Astyanax mexicanus: one gene and its partner. The protein of the gene in region 2 interacts with the protein of the main gene of each other region in a pairwise test. Links are inferred from orthologs where the notes say so. Each region holds a gene or a part of one and is shown on either strand. Other genes may lie near its edges. The genes, in order: pop5 and cep44.

Evidence for each region.
Region 1: the proteins of cep44 (region 2) and pop5 interact in binary tests that used the Homo sapiens proteins (3 or more experiments, as listed by UniProt). The two-hybrid records come from large-scale screens. The link is inferred for Astyanax mexicanus from reciprocal best matches to the Homo sapiens genes CEP44 and POP5.

Annotation. Positions count from the first base shown.
Region 1 is NC_064419.1:30,521,935-30,529,803, reverse strand, and holds the start of pop5 (ribonuclease P/MRP protein subunit POP5), read left to right. Parts: upstream 1-4,723; 5' UTR 4,724-4,811; coding exon 4,812-4,831; intron 4,832-4,923; coding exon 4,924-5,066; intron 5,067-5,824; coding exon 5,825-5,974; intron 5,975-6,480; coding exon 6,481-6,564; intron 6,565-7,710; coding exon 7,711-7,832; 3' UTR 7,833-7,869. Other genes in the region: olfml2a (olfactomedin-like protein 2A), read right to left, coding at 2,589-2,663. UniProt on the Homo sapiens protein: Component of ribonuclease P, a protein complex that generates mature tRNA molecules by cleaving their 5'-ends. Also a component of the MRP ribonuclease complex, which cleaves pre-rRNA sequences.
Region 2 is NC_064414.1:52,245,468-52,252,621, reverse strand, and holds the start of cep44 (centrosomal protein of 44 kDa), read right to left. Parts: upstream 3,232-7,154; 5' UTR 3,007-3,231; intron 2,904-3,006; 5' UTR 2,892-2,903; coding exon 2,803-2,891; intron 1-2,802. UniProt on the Homo sapiens protein: Centriole-enriched microtubule-binding protein involved in centriole biogenesis. In collaboration with CEP295 and POC1B, is required for the centriole-to-centrosome conversion by ensuring the formation of bona fide centriole wall.

The DNA of each region.
Region 1 (7,869 bases), on a different chromosome or scaffold from region 2:
CCTTCTGAGATATTTCCTCTTTGCAATTAGACCACACAAGTCCATATCTGTTTATTATCTTATTGTATGTCTATGGCCACTCTTAATTAACTGCTTAATTAACCCCTTACACAGTGAAATGCTGATTTCTACATTCTTTCTGAAGTTTCTCAGAAGAGAGCTCTTTGGATCTGGCAATGGTGATCTACTCACTTTGAGAACAATCAAGAGCAAACCAAACTAATGCCTGAGGTTTAAATAAAACAATCCTCTCTAAACATGTTGGAATCATTTGCAGCTAATGTAATATTACACATTTTAAGGACTAATACATGTAGGGGTGTCATTTTTTTCTCACAAGGCTACTGTATCTATTATCTATTAGTTACATTTTACAATTTATTTTTGAAAGATTTAATCAGTTTAATGTGTTACATTATATACTCTCCATCTCTCAGTATTGGACACCCCTTCTAGTAGATGCATTTAGCTACTCTAAGTTGTGCATATGTGCAAATTCACACACAAACAGCTTGTCTAGTCCCTATCAAGAAATATTGTAAACACAATACAATTCTCCCTTGAACAGATAAATATGAACCTGTTGGCACTATGCATAAAGCCAGACATGTGGACCAGGAGAACTGTGCTCTATGGAATGATAAAGCTCCATCCAATACCTCTTGAAAAGGTTGGGGAGTTGATGGGGAGATGAGGTGTGGTGGTGATCATCCAACATGCTGGCGCTCTTGTGGCTGAATGCAATCAAATTCTTACAGCAGTGCTCCTAAATGTAATTTGAAAACTTCCCTTGACAATAGAGACAGTCACTCCAACCAAAGCAGACTAAAAAAAAATTGATAATAACCAAACTGTGACGGCTGGGCAGCAGAGTAAGAACATCTCCAAAACTCCAAGCAGGTCTGGAATTAAATTTGTGTGGAGATGTCAGCATGTAAGCCTAAGGGTCCGTACTATAGCTTAAAAATTTGTTTCAGGCAGGTTACTGAGTAATGAGTCTAAAAATTAATCACTGACTGTTAAACTTACGGTCTGACGGGTTATGCCCCTCAGCGGGGGCTCATTAAAACAGGTGTACTTTGTCAACGAGAACGAAAAAAGCATTGATTTAGTGCCTCCACTATATATCAACAGCATGAAAATCCTAATCGACCCTTTCGGAATTCAGTAATGATAAACAACGACAGACAGTTTAACATTTCCCAGTCCCGTGTGAGACTGTTTCAAAATCCCAAATCTCAAATTCTTCACAGTTCACACACACTCCCACAGTGTTCTTTCCAAAAAAGAAAATAAAAGAAAAATAAAACACACACTTACACACTCACACCATTGCAGCCATAACTCACTCTCTGAGCGAACAACACACAATCTACACTTGATGCCCCGGTTGAGCACAACACTGGTTGGAGTGCCATTTTCTCATATTTACAAATTAACTCTTTCAAGCCTAAAGGCCTGTTTGTTGACACGTGCTTTAAACAAACTGCATATAAGTTTCATAACAGATTCTAAAAAAATACTAGGTATTGAATAATAAATATGTACAATTTCCATGTAGCTAATTATTAGTAAATATTCAATATTTAGTAGATAATAATTAATGAATACTTATGGGATACCTGGCAGTTGCTGAATAGGTACTATTCACTTACTAATTAGTAGTTACTCAATAATTAGCAAAAACTGACTAATTAGTTCTTGGTAAATAATTAATTTTAGCTACTGAAAAATAAATACTTACTGAATAAGTAGTAGGTGCCAATTAAGAAAGTACTAAATATTTACTCCTTATTCTGTATCTATTACTTGATAAATAGTAGAGACTGACTAATGAGTACTTTCTCAACAATTCTTACTTACTGAAAAACAACTACATTACAAATAATGAATAGGTACTTAATAAGAAGGTACTGAACTTACATCATTTTATATAACTACTATTCAACAATTAGTATATAATGAGTGTTTATTAAATAAATTATTTTTTCTTTGCTAAGTAATTACTTACAACTGAATAACTGGCAGCTACTGAATAAAATGTACTGCATAATTATTACATGTTACATCATTGCTAAGAATTACTACTTATTGGATACTTAGTAGGTATCAAAAAAGAAGGTATTATTATTGCATAACTGCTACTCAATAATTACCTAATTGTTAGTGAATAATTACTAATAAATTATCAACTTGTATGTACTGAATAAAAGTACTGTATAATTATTACTTATTATTACTAAATTATTGAATTATTGAAAGTATTAAAAAAGTAAATGCTGCATAATTAATACTTAATGGAATTATTGGTATTTACTCAATAATTAGTAGGTACTAAATTAGAAGCTGCTAATTAATCAGTACTTACTGATTAGGTAAGTAGGTGTGGTCTTATACGTATGGTATTAAAGCCCAAAAGCAAGATTTCAGTGGATTAAATAAACTTGATGATGCACGTGCACAGTTGCAGTATTTAAATGCAATGCTGAGGATTGCATTTTAACATATTTTAGAGAAGCATATCACAAAACACACACACACACACACAGTGAGAAAACAGCAGTTAATGTGCTGCTGCATCTTCTTACCTTACTAATAGCGATGGCATGCTCGATGAGCGCGAGCGCGCACACGCACCTCATGATATTCCTGTATATCCACATTCTGCCCCCAGATGAGTGATTTTGTGCGTGTGTGAGCTGCAGTCTGCAGTCCGGCGACTCTCACGCTCACACTCTCACGCTGCCATGACAGAAGTGCGCCTATGTGCGCGCACTTGTGAGTGTGCGCGTGTGTACAGTGCGCGATCTGCACCCTGCGGGACCAACAACCCACGCCCATTTGATGTTTCTTCCACAGGACACGCCCACTGCACGATACCTTGCCTCCCCCTCAATACTGTCTTCTGAGGGACCACTTAAGACCTTAGCCTACAAGACACGCCCACCATACACTATTAGGTATGATGCTAATTCCGAGAGCATGCATCATGTGTTTACTTTCCAGTCAGAAAATCCACTGAGTACAAGTACCACTAACAACTACAAGACCACCAAATAACCCCCTCAGATAACATGGCAGTTCAAGTATTCGAGTTTGTGAAAGACGCTCCAGCTCCACTTTCATTTCAGATCTGAAAGCATCCACTAAACAGATGATGGGCTGAGTAGCTCCTAACACTGAGAAAAGCGAACTGCAAACTGCTAAAAATCTCAGAATAATATACAGAAAGGATCTACCATGAAAAAATGCCTGGCCAAAAAAAAAAATGTCGCCACCAAAAAAGGTCACACACTCTAATATTTCATTGGACCACCTTTAGTTTTGATTACAGCAAGCATTCACTGTAGCATTGTTTCGATAAGCTTGTGCAATGTCACAAGATTTATTTCAATCCAGTGTTGCATTTTTTTTTTTCTTGCAGCATTGATAGTAGAGTCTGGTCACTGTGCAAAGCCTTCTCCAGCACATCCCAAAGATTCTCAATGGGGTTAAGGTCGGGACTCTGTGGTGGCCAATCCATGAGTGAAAATGATGATCTCATGCTCCCTGAACCACCCTTTTACAATTCCAGCCTGATGAATCCTGGAATTGTCATCTTGAAATATGGCCATTCCATCAGGGAAGAAAAAATCCATTGATGGAATAACCTGGTTATACAGTATATTCAGGTAGTCAGCTGACCTCATTCTTTCAGCACATACTGTTGCTGAACCTAGACCTGACCAACTGCAACAACCCCAGATCATTTGTTTAGATAAATCCAGGTGGCAACTTTATCTTGGTCAGGCAGTGTATATATCCTTTGCTTAAACACGGGTAAATTAATGAAAAACTCTGGCAAAACATGAGAAGGTTCAAAGAATTACTAACCGTTTTAAAAATTGGATTGATTAAATCTAGATTTTGTGACACTTCATAAATGTAAACTGATAATATCATATTTGCAAAAAGAAAACAGTTTTTTACACATCAAGATCCGACCACATAAAAATGAATCTGAGGTTTCTGCAGGATCTGTACAAGACACAGCCAATATGCATTTTTAGATTCTGTGCTAATGTTTGCTCATTATGGGTGTACATTTCAGTCAAAATGTGCACTAATTACAAATACATGGGGAAATTAATAACACATTAACAAGACATTTAAATAATTTCGAATTAATAAAATAAGTAGTACATATTAATCACATATTATTATTTTTTTACTGTAGGTTCAGTACCACAAATGAACCTGTGCAAAAAAACTTCCTAAAAACTATAGTAAACCAGTGTTAGGAAGCCTTTAGAGGTTCATATATCTGGTTCCTGTGTTTTATACCAAACCGTTTTATATGTATGTATATATTTATAATTATACACAGTACAGTACATTTTCAGTTTAGTAGCATATTCTTGGACAGGACATTTTTCATCTAACGAACAAATTACATTAAAATTCATTTCAATAATTATTTAGTCTGGTCCAAAAAGTTCCATTTTATTTTATTTTTGCTCTTATGGCGCCATCTCTCGGAATCTCCTGAAAATGACACCCCATATAAATAAACAACAGCGTCAAATAAGGACTTTTATTTTATATAAAATATGAACCAAGAACTTTAGCTAAATATTATACTTTTAGAGACCTAGAAATGAGTAAAAATCAAGCTGAGCGTTGAACCTTAAACGATAAACGTGTCTGAACGGTGTAATGTGGACCGCGTAAGCACCGCCTACTTTGTGCAACATCGAATTGTGATTGGTGCAAAAGCCCACACGTGAAAGCGGTAAAGCGTTGGTCCACGTGGTTCCACAGAGAGCAGGAAGATGGTGCGACTTAAGGCGAGGTAAAAAAAACGTTTTTATGAAAACATGTTAGTTATTTCAGGATGTTTTTAGGCTTTAAAATGACTGTAAATTGCCTGGTGTGTGTTTGCAGATATCTGTTATGTGAGGTGTGCATGTCCGAGAGGAGCATGCTGCGGCTGCTGGAGGAGAAGGATATTTTCCAGGCAGTAAAAACAGCAGTGACCACAGCTCATGGCCAGTATGGGTTAGCGTTGTTTAACATAGGTTCTGCAGGTCAGTACTGCATCACCATACTTCTCCAGTTCCTCTTCATCTTTCTTCACTATTTTATTGCGTTTAATAAGTTTTATAATTATGAACACCTACTCAGCTCATTACGAAGAGTGTATTATTTGATTAAATACCTGTACTTGGCACGAGTTTGTATTTAAATGGCTTTTAAAGTTTTAAAAAATCTGGCACTTTAGGTGCATTTTAACGCATATTAAAATATTGACACTATAAGTTAAATATTGTAATATGTAATATGTGTACTATCTCTAACATGTCTAGTTAAAAAGTTTAAGAGAGCGTTACAGAATTTTACATATGTGTCTAAGATAAAATCCTTTATTAATCCCGCGACGGAAATGTACAATGTTACAGCAGCACAGAGGACCAAGCAAAGGAAGTAGCATGAATATACAAGCAATATATATAAAATAAAAATAATAAAATTCATAATAGTAATAACAATAAATAGATTATAAAATATTACTCATTATGCATATTGCACATGTTGGTTGTAAACATACAAACAATGATCCACAATTTAAAAAATTACACAATGTAAGGTAGGACATTGGATGTAGGGTGTGTGTTTGTGCATTTGCACCTTTGTGTCATAAGAAATTGTTTTGTGTAAAAGCACACCTTTAAGCAATACTGAGCTACTGTTATAAATGACCTGTATTTAGGGGTGCCTTTTTTGTGTTCAGAATTTAAAAGCATATTTAACAACATGTATGGATTCTGCTGTTGTCTCATTTCAGTGAGGTACGTAAATGCCTACACTGGGGTGGTCATGCTACGTTTCCGGAAGGCCCACTATCAGCTTCTCTGGTCTGCCCTTCCCTTTATTACAAGTATCTGGAAGCAAGGCCAGAGGGTGCCGTGCTTTTTTAATTGCATTCATGTTGGAGGTAAGTAGTCACCTGTTTCCAGTTGGTTTCACTTTGCACCAAACTATACAAATGGTTTGTTTATTCGTCACAAGTTTGACAAAACTCACAGTATAGATACCTTCAGTTACTTTTGTTTGTCATTGTAAGTGCCAAAAGACCCACCAGTAATAGCAGACCTGTTGATTTAGTATGTCATCTTAAAATATATTTGATCTAAATTATATCTAAATGACTAATTTTAACAAAAAAACTTTGTTAAAAGTATAATTGTAAATTAATATACTACTAAAGCTTAAACACAAAAAGCAATAAAGAAAACATAACAAAATGTCATGATTGAAAATGCTGGTACACTCTTAAAAATAGATGCTATTGAAGAACCAAGGTTCCTCATGGAAACAAATAGGGTTATTCCTGGGCATCAGACAACGAACCCTTTGTATCATATGTTAATGGTTTGATTGCAATCAGATTTTTGTATTGATTTTAATCAAACCATTCTTATTTGCTCTCCAATTCCACAGGTACCATCAGAACATGCCAGAAATTTCTCATTAGATACAGCAGACAGCAGCTATTTCGAATGCTACCACATTGCAAAACAGAAGGTAAAGTTATCTCTTCAATTATTATATTAAGGATTATTCAGATTGCTTTGACAAATCATTTATAAGACTACTATTTGGGTGTTTGGTCATTCTCAGCACTGCAGTGATTGTAGTTGCATGGTGGTAGCGTGTTTGTGTGTGTGTTGTGGTCAGCCGCAGCAGTGTTGCTAGAGTTTTTAAAGACTGTGTTCACACACTGTCCACTGCCCACATGGCACTGCTGGATGACAATTCTCAGTCTAGCAGTGACACAAGATACGCCACCACCATGTCAGTGTCACTCCAGTACTGAGAATGACTTACCACCCAAATAATACTGCAGGGTCCTAACCATTTAAGATTAGGGTGAAAGGGAGGGTAATAAAGTATGCACAAAAATAGATGGACGACAGTCTGTATTTATAGACCTTAAAACTACTCCAATTTGCTTGATTAGTATTTCAGTGAAATGTTGCACAATAAAGTATAACTATCAGTATGACCTGTAACTACTAAAACCACTGAGTTTTAGTTATTAGGCACTTCTGCTTGTTTGTAATGTCTTTGTTTATTAAACGAGGAACAGAATAATGTTGTGGGCATTCTGTGGTAAATTGACACCACTTTTTATGTTAAAAAGTACACAAGTAAAAAAGAGATTTGCTGCAATCGGACAATTTAAGTTGCAAATTGCAATGTTCTATTCATTGCTATGAAATGAGTGCCCCAACTTTCTTTTTTTTAATTATTATTATTATTATTATTTTGCTATTGCTAAATGTAGTTGCAGCAGTTTGTCTATATGAAGCTGCCATTTGCTATTTATTTTCTTTATCAAAATACTGTTAAAAAACTAAACTAAAATAAAGTGTAATGAAAAACAATTAAACAATAAAAACTAAATACAGGAAAAAAATATACAAACTGTTTCATAGTGACCTACATGTTTCTATATTTTTATATGGTTTAAAAGCTCAGTTATTCTGTCAGTGGATCTGGTTGTTCCAGTTTTATAGGCCAATTTTATAATTAAATTAATATGTAATTTTTTTTAACGTTAATTTTCTCCAACATCCGAGTTACAGCACAAATACAGATATATACTCTATGTACTAATAAAAAAGAAAAATTAAAAGTTTTTTTATATCTATCTGTCCTTTGATGCAGCTGAAAAACAGCAGGTGAGAAAAGCAGTTTTGAGTTGTTCTCTAAACCAACTCAGACAAGACGATGATGACGACGACAATGATGACTATGATGACGACAATGATGATGATGATGGAAAATGAACTGAAGAAAAGACCCAGCTACCATAGTTGCCATTCA
Region 2 (7,154 bases):
TGGTGATTTCTGGCTCTTTAGCACCCTCTCAGGTTAAACTGTGCTATAGTTACAGTTTCTGTGTACTTTCGTAGGTAGACAAATCACATGTCTGCGTCTAACTGCTATCAGAGGCACACTGCTGCTGCTGTAGCTCAGCCAATCAGCTCTCCCTCCTGCACCGTCTCTAAACCCATACATCACCCACCCCTCCCCCTTTTTAAATTTGAGCTGAGTTTAGTTCCCCTTTAATAGGGGTGTCCACAAACATTTGGCTGTATAGTGAAAGTTAAAGGTTTTTTGCATGTAGTCCATTAAGTCGATTATCCTGCAGACGAACGCAGCAGCAGATCAGATGTACTTCAGTAATTTACAGTAACAGTAAATCTGCTCTGTGTAATTACAGTGGGAATACGGGAATATGAGTCAGCCCTGCGTCCAGTCCGAGCTTCTGTTCAGCTCCAAACCGCCGCTGCCATAGTGTTTGTTGTAAATCTGAGCTGGATTTCAGGCATTAGTGCCGGTTGGATGGAGTTTCTGGGGAATCACAATTCGAGACGTCTATGTTGGAAATTCAAGTATTCCATCATTTCATTTCCATCCTGCAAATCAAGCAGCCATGTGGACGGCAGCAGAATGCAGGAATCACATAATCTATAATACAATTCAGCTCGTTTTCCAATCAGTTTAATTTGATCCAGTCTAGTGTTATGCCAAATTCAGCACCCCTGCCAGGAAAAGCACCCCCTATTTCTAAATAATAATAAAGCAATTATCTCTGCATTTTTTGTCAAAAAAAAAAAAAAAAAAAAAAACGCATATGCGCTGCTGAGAGGGGTGCTTTTCACGGTGGGGCTGCAGATTTAGGCACTACTATGGTGCTAAATTTAGCACTCCCGCCAAATAAAGCACCCTCTCTCAGGGAGAGGCTGCAGGTGGCATGTATTTATTTTATTTATTTTTTTTATTTTTTTTTTACAAGTCATCGTAGCTTACAACAGTATCTTGGGTGTTTCCATTTTCCAAATAAAGTTAAAGCTAAGAAGACATGAGTGCGCACTCCTGAGAGGGGGTGCTTTTCCTGGCGGGGGTGCTGAATTCGGCACAACACTAGACTGGCTCCTATTGGACTGATTGGAAAACGAGCTGAGTTGTGTTAGATTGGTTTCATTCCTGCATTCTGCTGCTGTCCACATGGCTACTGAATTCAGCACAACACCGGGCAGGGCTGCAGGATTAATCTCATTATATCATCATTACAGTCTGAGTTTCTGTGATGAACACAGTCTTACAGGCTGGACGACAGAACGGATAATATTACTCAACAAGTGCAGCATCAGAATGATGCAATCACACTGTTGGGAACAGAACATTAGAAGCAGAACATGTGCTATAAACTCAATTACAAAACACACACAGACTGATCAGTTAAAAACTCACTGCTTTCTTTCATTCTGCTGCATTTTAGAGCATTGCTGTGAGAATCTCTTGTGGAGATTTCCATCTCCACAACTCCGCCCTTTCTTAAATATTAGATGAAGCTCCATCATTTCAGAAAACAAAGCTCTACCACTGTCCCACAGCTCAAAACTGAGGGCTTTATACCCCCTATTCTATTGCAAAAACGTCTCTACAGGGAGTACCAGTACACTTAATTCGGATAGTGCAAACAAATCCTGTTAAATTGGATGACATGCATAAAAAAAAAAAAGTATATATTTTTTTTTTTGTAAAATGTCTTGTAATTTTTCTATGTGATGAAAAAGGATACATATTGTGTATTGTACAAATGCCTTTACTTGTCATGATGTAGTATTCATAATATAACTTTTGGCCATATCACCCATCTCTGTACACATTTTTGTATTGTTTGTGTATTTATTGTATAATTGTTTTAGTTTGCAGTTTATATGCATGCACTAAATATTCTGCAATATTTTTTGCTGCATTATATTATTTTATGCTATATTATTTATTTTGCCACATTATGAATATACTGTTATACTATTATACTATATTCCTGAAATGAATGAATTAGTTTAGTTTTCCTATATCGCCAAGTATATCGTTATCGCAAAAATACCCTGAAATATCGTGATATTATTTTAGAGCCATATCGTCCACCCCTAGTACACACAAACAAAAAAATTGGACCCACCTTAAATTCAGTACTTTTTCACTAATTTCATGTTCTATATTGTAGATTAATATTAAGTAATCTAAACTATGAAGAAAACCATATGTAATTATTAAATAAAACAAAACAAATAAGTGTTAAACAAACCAGAATATGTTTATTTATATATATATATATATATATATATATATATATATATATATATATATATATATATATATATATATTGTACCTTTTGCTAAAATGTCAGTGCACATTTTGGCTAAATTTACTTAGTCAGCTTCATGAGGTAGAGTCACCTAGAATTCAGGTTTTCAGTTAACAGCTGTGCTGAACTCATCAAGAGTTAATTACTTGAATTTCTTGTCTCTTAATAAAGTGTTTGAGAGCATCAGTTGTAAAGTAGTGAAACGGTAGAGTTACAGGTATACAGTGAATAGCTCTGTTTAAGTAATGCTCTAATCCATATTATGGCAAAATGGCAAAAGAAAATAAATGGTGGAACTGGCACTCATTAGGACTGCCCCAGGAAAGAAAGAGCAAGAGAGTTCAGAAAAAGTGGTAATTTGGTTTGTTTAACACTTTTAAAGATTACTTATGTTTTATCATAGTCTGAATGACTTTAGTATTCATTTACAATGTAGGAAAAAACATTAAAACATATTAAAACAGGCATAATAAATTACCTGTTATAATCCACTTCTCTGGGGTATTTGAGATATCTGAGGGAGGTCTGCAGCTTCTTCAGGCTTCCCTTCAGATCACCTGTAGCCATTTTTCAGTCTACCTGCAGTTTAACAGTGAAATAAAGCGATTAACTAATGAAAAACGTTATTAAACACAAATATACAGCTTTTTTATATTAATATTAGAGCATTTCCGCTCCTTACCTTTGCAAAACAAGGCGTTGCAGCTTCAGTGTATGTATACAATCCACTTTTTGCGGTTGTTTGAGCCGTTTTAAAGAGTTTTAACGAGTTTTGAAGTGTTTTAACGGGTTTAAACTCGATAAATAGACGTTTATTTTGTTTGTATTTTGTTTCTAGGCGCGCTCACAGCGGATTTAAAACTGTTTAGCTATCATTTCACAGCCGCACATTCATCCTCCTAGCTGAAAAAAGTGGACCGGATTTTAGAAACGGATTTTAGAGTTCTTAATCACAAATATACTATAGATATATGCATATAAATCATACGATTATTTCAATATGATATCAAAAAAGTATCTTTTTATTTATCTGCCTCTCTGTATATCGAGCTATCTAGTTAACTAGTTACAGTTATAAAAATCCATGCCAGGATTTGGTTCAATCCGCCTGGGCGGCTCTTCTGAAGCTGGGCTTCAGCAGAGCCGTCCAGGCGGATGAAACGAAATCCTGGCATGGATTTTTACATCCTGGATCTGAATTACATTTTTTTTTTTATAAATTAGTTTAGACATAGTTTCTTCTCATTCTTAAATACTTTTCAATATATATCACTTAATTTTAAGACGACAAGAGAGATATTATTATAACGAAAATCAAAGAAAGGACAAACAAACAAAAAAATATAATTATTTATTCATTTATATATTACTTCTTCGCAAAATGCATAGGGTGCAGAAATATAGCTTGGAAAATAAATAAATAAAAAATATAATAATAAATAATAAATTCAGAATGGGCGTGTTTTCACCAGGAGTCCTTCATCTTATATACTTTTTAGCCGATCAAACAAAGTCAGATAGAAATATCTATCTATCAGAATATCAATATCCAAGATTCGTTTATTCAGCAAAAAATAACAAAAAATAACATTTTCTCACTGTGCTTTTTTTTTTTTGCATTGCACTACTAATGTAGCCATGTCTATAGTTAGATATACTGTCAAACTTTATTTATGAGCAACCCTGAAAAGATAAGAAAAAATATATTCAAAAAAACAAAGTATTATGTGTTCTGTCAAATTTTATGTGTAGTTTATTAACGTTTTAAATAAATGTATTTAATCCCTACACTTTTTTAAGAGAAAATGTGATATAAGTCAGTTACAAAATGCATGTGGCTGAAATTTTACCAAAATACAGGACAGATACTCGTCATATGAAGTGACCAGTTGATAGTTACAGACTCTTAAAGAAATCTTCTAATCTTCCAGCTAATTCACTTTTCTATTTTTATTTTTTATATATATATATATATAATTTATTGGCCACTTTGTGAGATTTGCTTCTCAGTTACTTCTTTTGAATTGTAATATATTTTTAAATATTTGTATATATGTTTTACATTATTTATGATGTATTTGATTGTAAATGCATTTAACATTTTAATTAAAAATGAAAATAATAATAAATATAAATAATATAAATTATTATCGAAAGTGCTGTTCTTTAGCACGCCCTGCCAAAACGTGCTGATCCGCGTGCGTCACTTCCACCAACAACAAGAAACGTCAAACGTGACGACGACACTCGTTTTTACACTGCATTATATTTGTCATTTTATTATTTTATTTTTAACAAATACTTTATATTACTGATGGAAAAAAACGACACATGGCTGTTTACCAGCACTTTAAAGATAAAAAAAATAATAAAATAAATAAAAATAAGTAAGGAGAAAGAGAAAGTGGGCGGGGTTTATGATGGGAGGGGCGGGGCTGAGCACTGAGAGACTCTGAGCGGTGGAGGAGATTATAAACCTGACCGCGGATTCAGCCTGCTCGGGTTTTGAGCCGTTTTTGGAGCTTCTGGGGAAGAAATGCGCGCTTTATCTGAGCTTGGGGGCTGAAGGACATTTCCACGCATCGGCTGCTGTGAACTGTTACGAATTTCGTCGCGGCGGCGGTGAAAATAAAGCCATAAAAACACAGGTGGGTGGGTTCAGCTACTGGAGCTATGACAATTTTAAATGCCAGCTAAATCAGCCAATAGCAGAGCTCGCTGGTTTGATTGATGTGCGCTGTAGCCAATCGTCGGGGAGTAAGGGCAGGACTTGTTCGGCAATCTAACGTGATGAGGGATGGCGATTAGTCAGTACTTTGAAACATAAACAGAACTAAAGTGTGAATGTTTATATGCTAAATTTTGGGTTTAAACGCGAGTTTAAAGTTAAAATTAAGTGTTTTAACGTGAAATTGAATTAAAAACATGTAGTTTAAAAGCTGTCAGTGAACTTACGTAATGATGAGCAGCCAGGCTGGTAGGCAAATTTAGGGAAAACACATTATAAAGCCTGAATAAGTTTAATTAACTTACATTTAGTCTAATAATTTGAGAAAAAATGTTGCCTTAGCGTATTTTGAGTCATTTTTACTAAAAACATAAGTTAATTAAGCTTAATGATTTAAGTTATAGTGTGTAAATTTAAAGTTGAATCAATTGTTGTTAATTTTATAATTGAACCAATATTATTATAATTAAAGAAGTATTGTGTGTAAAATAATTGATTTTAAGTCATTTTGTAGCTTTTCTCTTGTTTTTGTTTTAAACATAACAGAACTTTATATGACAGGACTAAAAGTTAATTATAGAACAATAATAATACATAATATATAAGAATATGATTTAATTCATTGTATTCAAGGCATCTCAAAATAGTAGATATTTAAAAAATAAGAAATCAAATAAAGGCCATAATTACAAAAGTACAAAAAATAACTAATATGACTAAGATATCAGGACAAACACTGAAAAAGTGGAAGTCACTGTAAAAATAATTTATTTCCAATCATTTTCGAACAAATCTTTTCATCATTCATCATAAATGTGGACAACCCTCATAATTATTCTCATATTATGATTATTATGATTATTGTTACTTTTTATTATTATTAGTTTTTATTGTATTTATTTATTTTTATTCTGTTTTTTTGTCATATCTTCAAGAAGTTATAATATGAATAGAAATATTGTAATATTATTTCATGACCATATCGCTCACCCCTAGAGTCAGAAACTATGGGAAACAACCAGTATATAAATACAAAGTGCCAGAAGCCAATAGAAACCGACTAGTTCATTTAAATCATAGATCCTATTCATTTATTTTTTACATGTGACCAAAATGTTTTGAATTGTTTGGAAATTAAATGAAATTAAGTTTTATAAAAAAGATGTAATTTTGAATTGTGAAATTTAGGGTACTGCTGCTAGAAGTGAGTAATGGAGTGCTGTTGGTGTTTTCTGGGTCTCTATAGATGTACACAGACAGGTAAAAGTAGAGGTACAGGTAAGCAGCATGTGCCTAAACTCACCTGAGTGACTGAGTGGAAAATGCTGGAGCTGAGTCAGTATTTACACTCAACACCAAACACTGAACTGTGGAAGAGTGTGTGTGTGATTGTTCACAAAGCCTCAATCAGTTGTTTTCTGTGTGAAGTGTCTAACAGCACAGATAGTAAATTATATAATATTTATTTATACAATATGTCAGAATAGAATTTAGTCATAAACACTACCTAAAGGTACCTACAAATATAAAATGCTGCACAGAACCAGTCACAGACCTGATATTACATAATAGATTTTTGTAAATATCAATAAGTAAAATAAAAAAGGCCCAGTTCAAGACAATAATATATCCTGGGACTTTTCTTTTAACCATAACAGAACTTTAAATGATAGTGCTTATATTATAGAAAAAGTATTACATATAATATATAAAATATAACTTACTTTCTTATGCTCAAGGCACCTTCAAAATCTCATATATAACAAGTATATCATATTTTTTTTGGACAAATTTACTGATGATCAGTGATGTTTTGGAGAGACATGTCATCTGCTGGTGTTGATCCACTGTGTTTTATTATCAAGTCTAAAGTCAGTGCAGTTTTGTTTTCCCACAAAATCTTACAGCACTTCGTGCTTCCCTCTGCTACTGACAACCAAAGAGCACTTACTCTCTTAATACCTCTAACACACTAACTACTTCTAACCTCATTTCCTTCTTCCTCTCCTTCACTCCTCTGTCCTATTATTCCCCTTTGTCCTCCTTTTATCCCTATCCAAAGATGTTTTTCCTTTAAACTTATTTTACATTGTACTTGACTA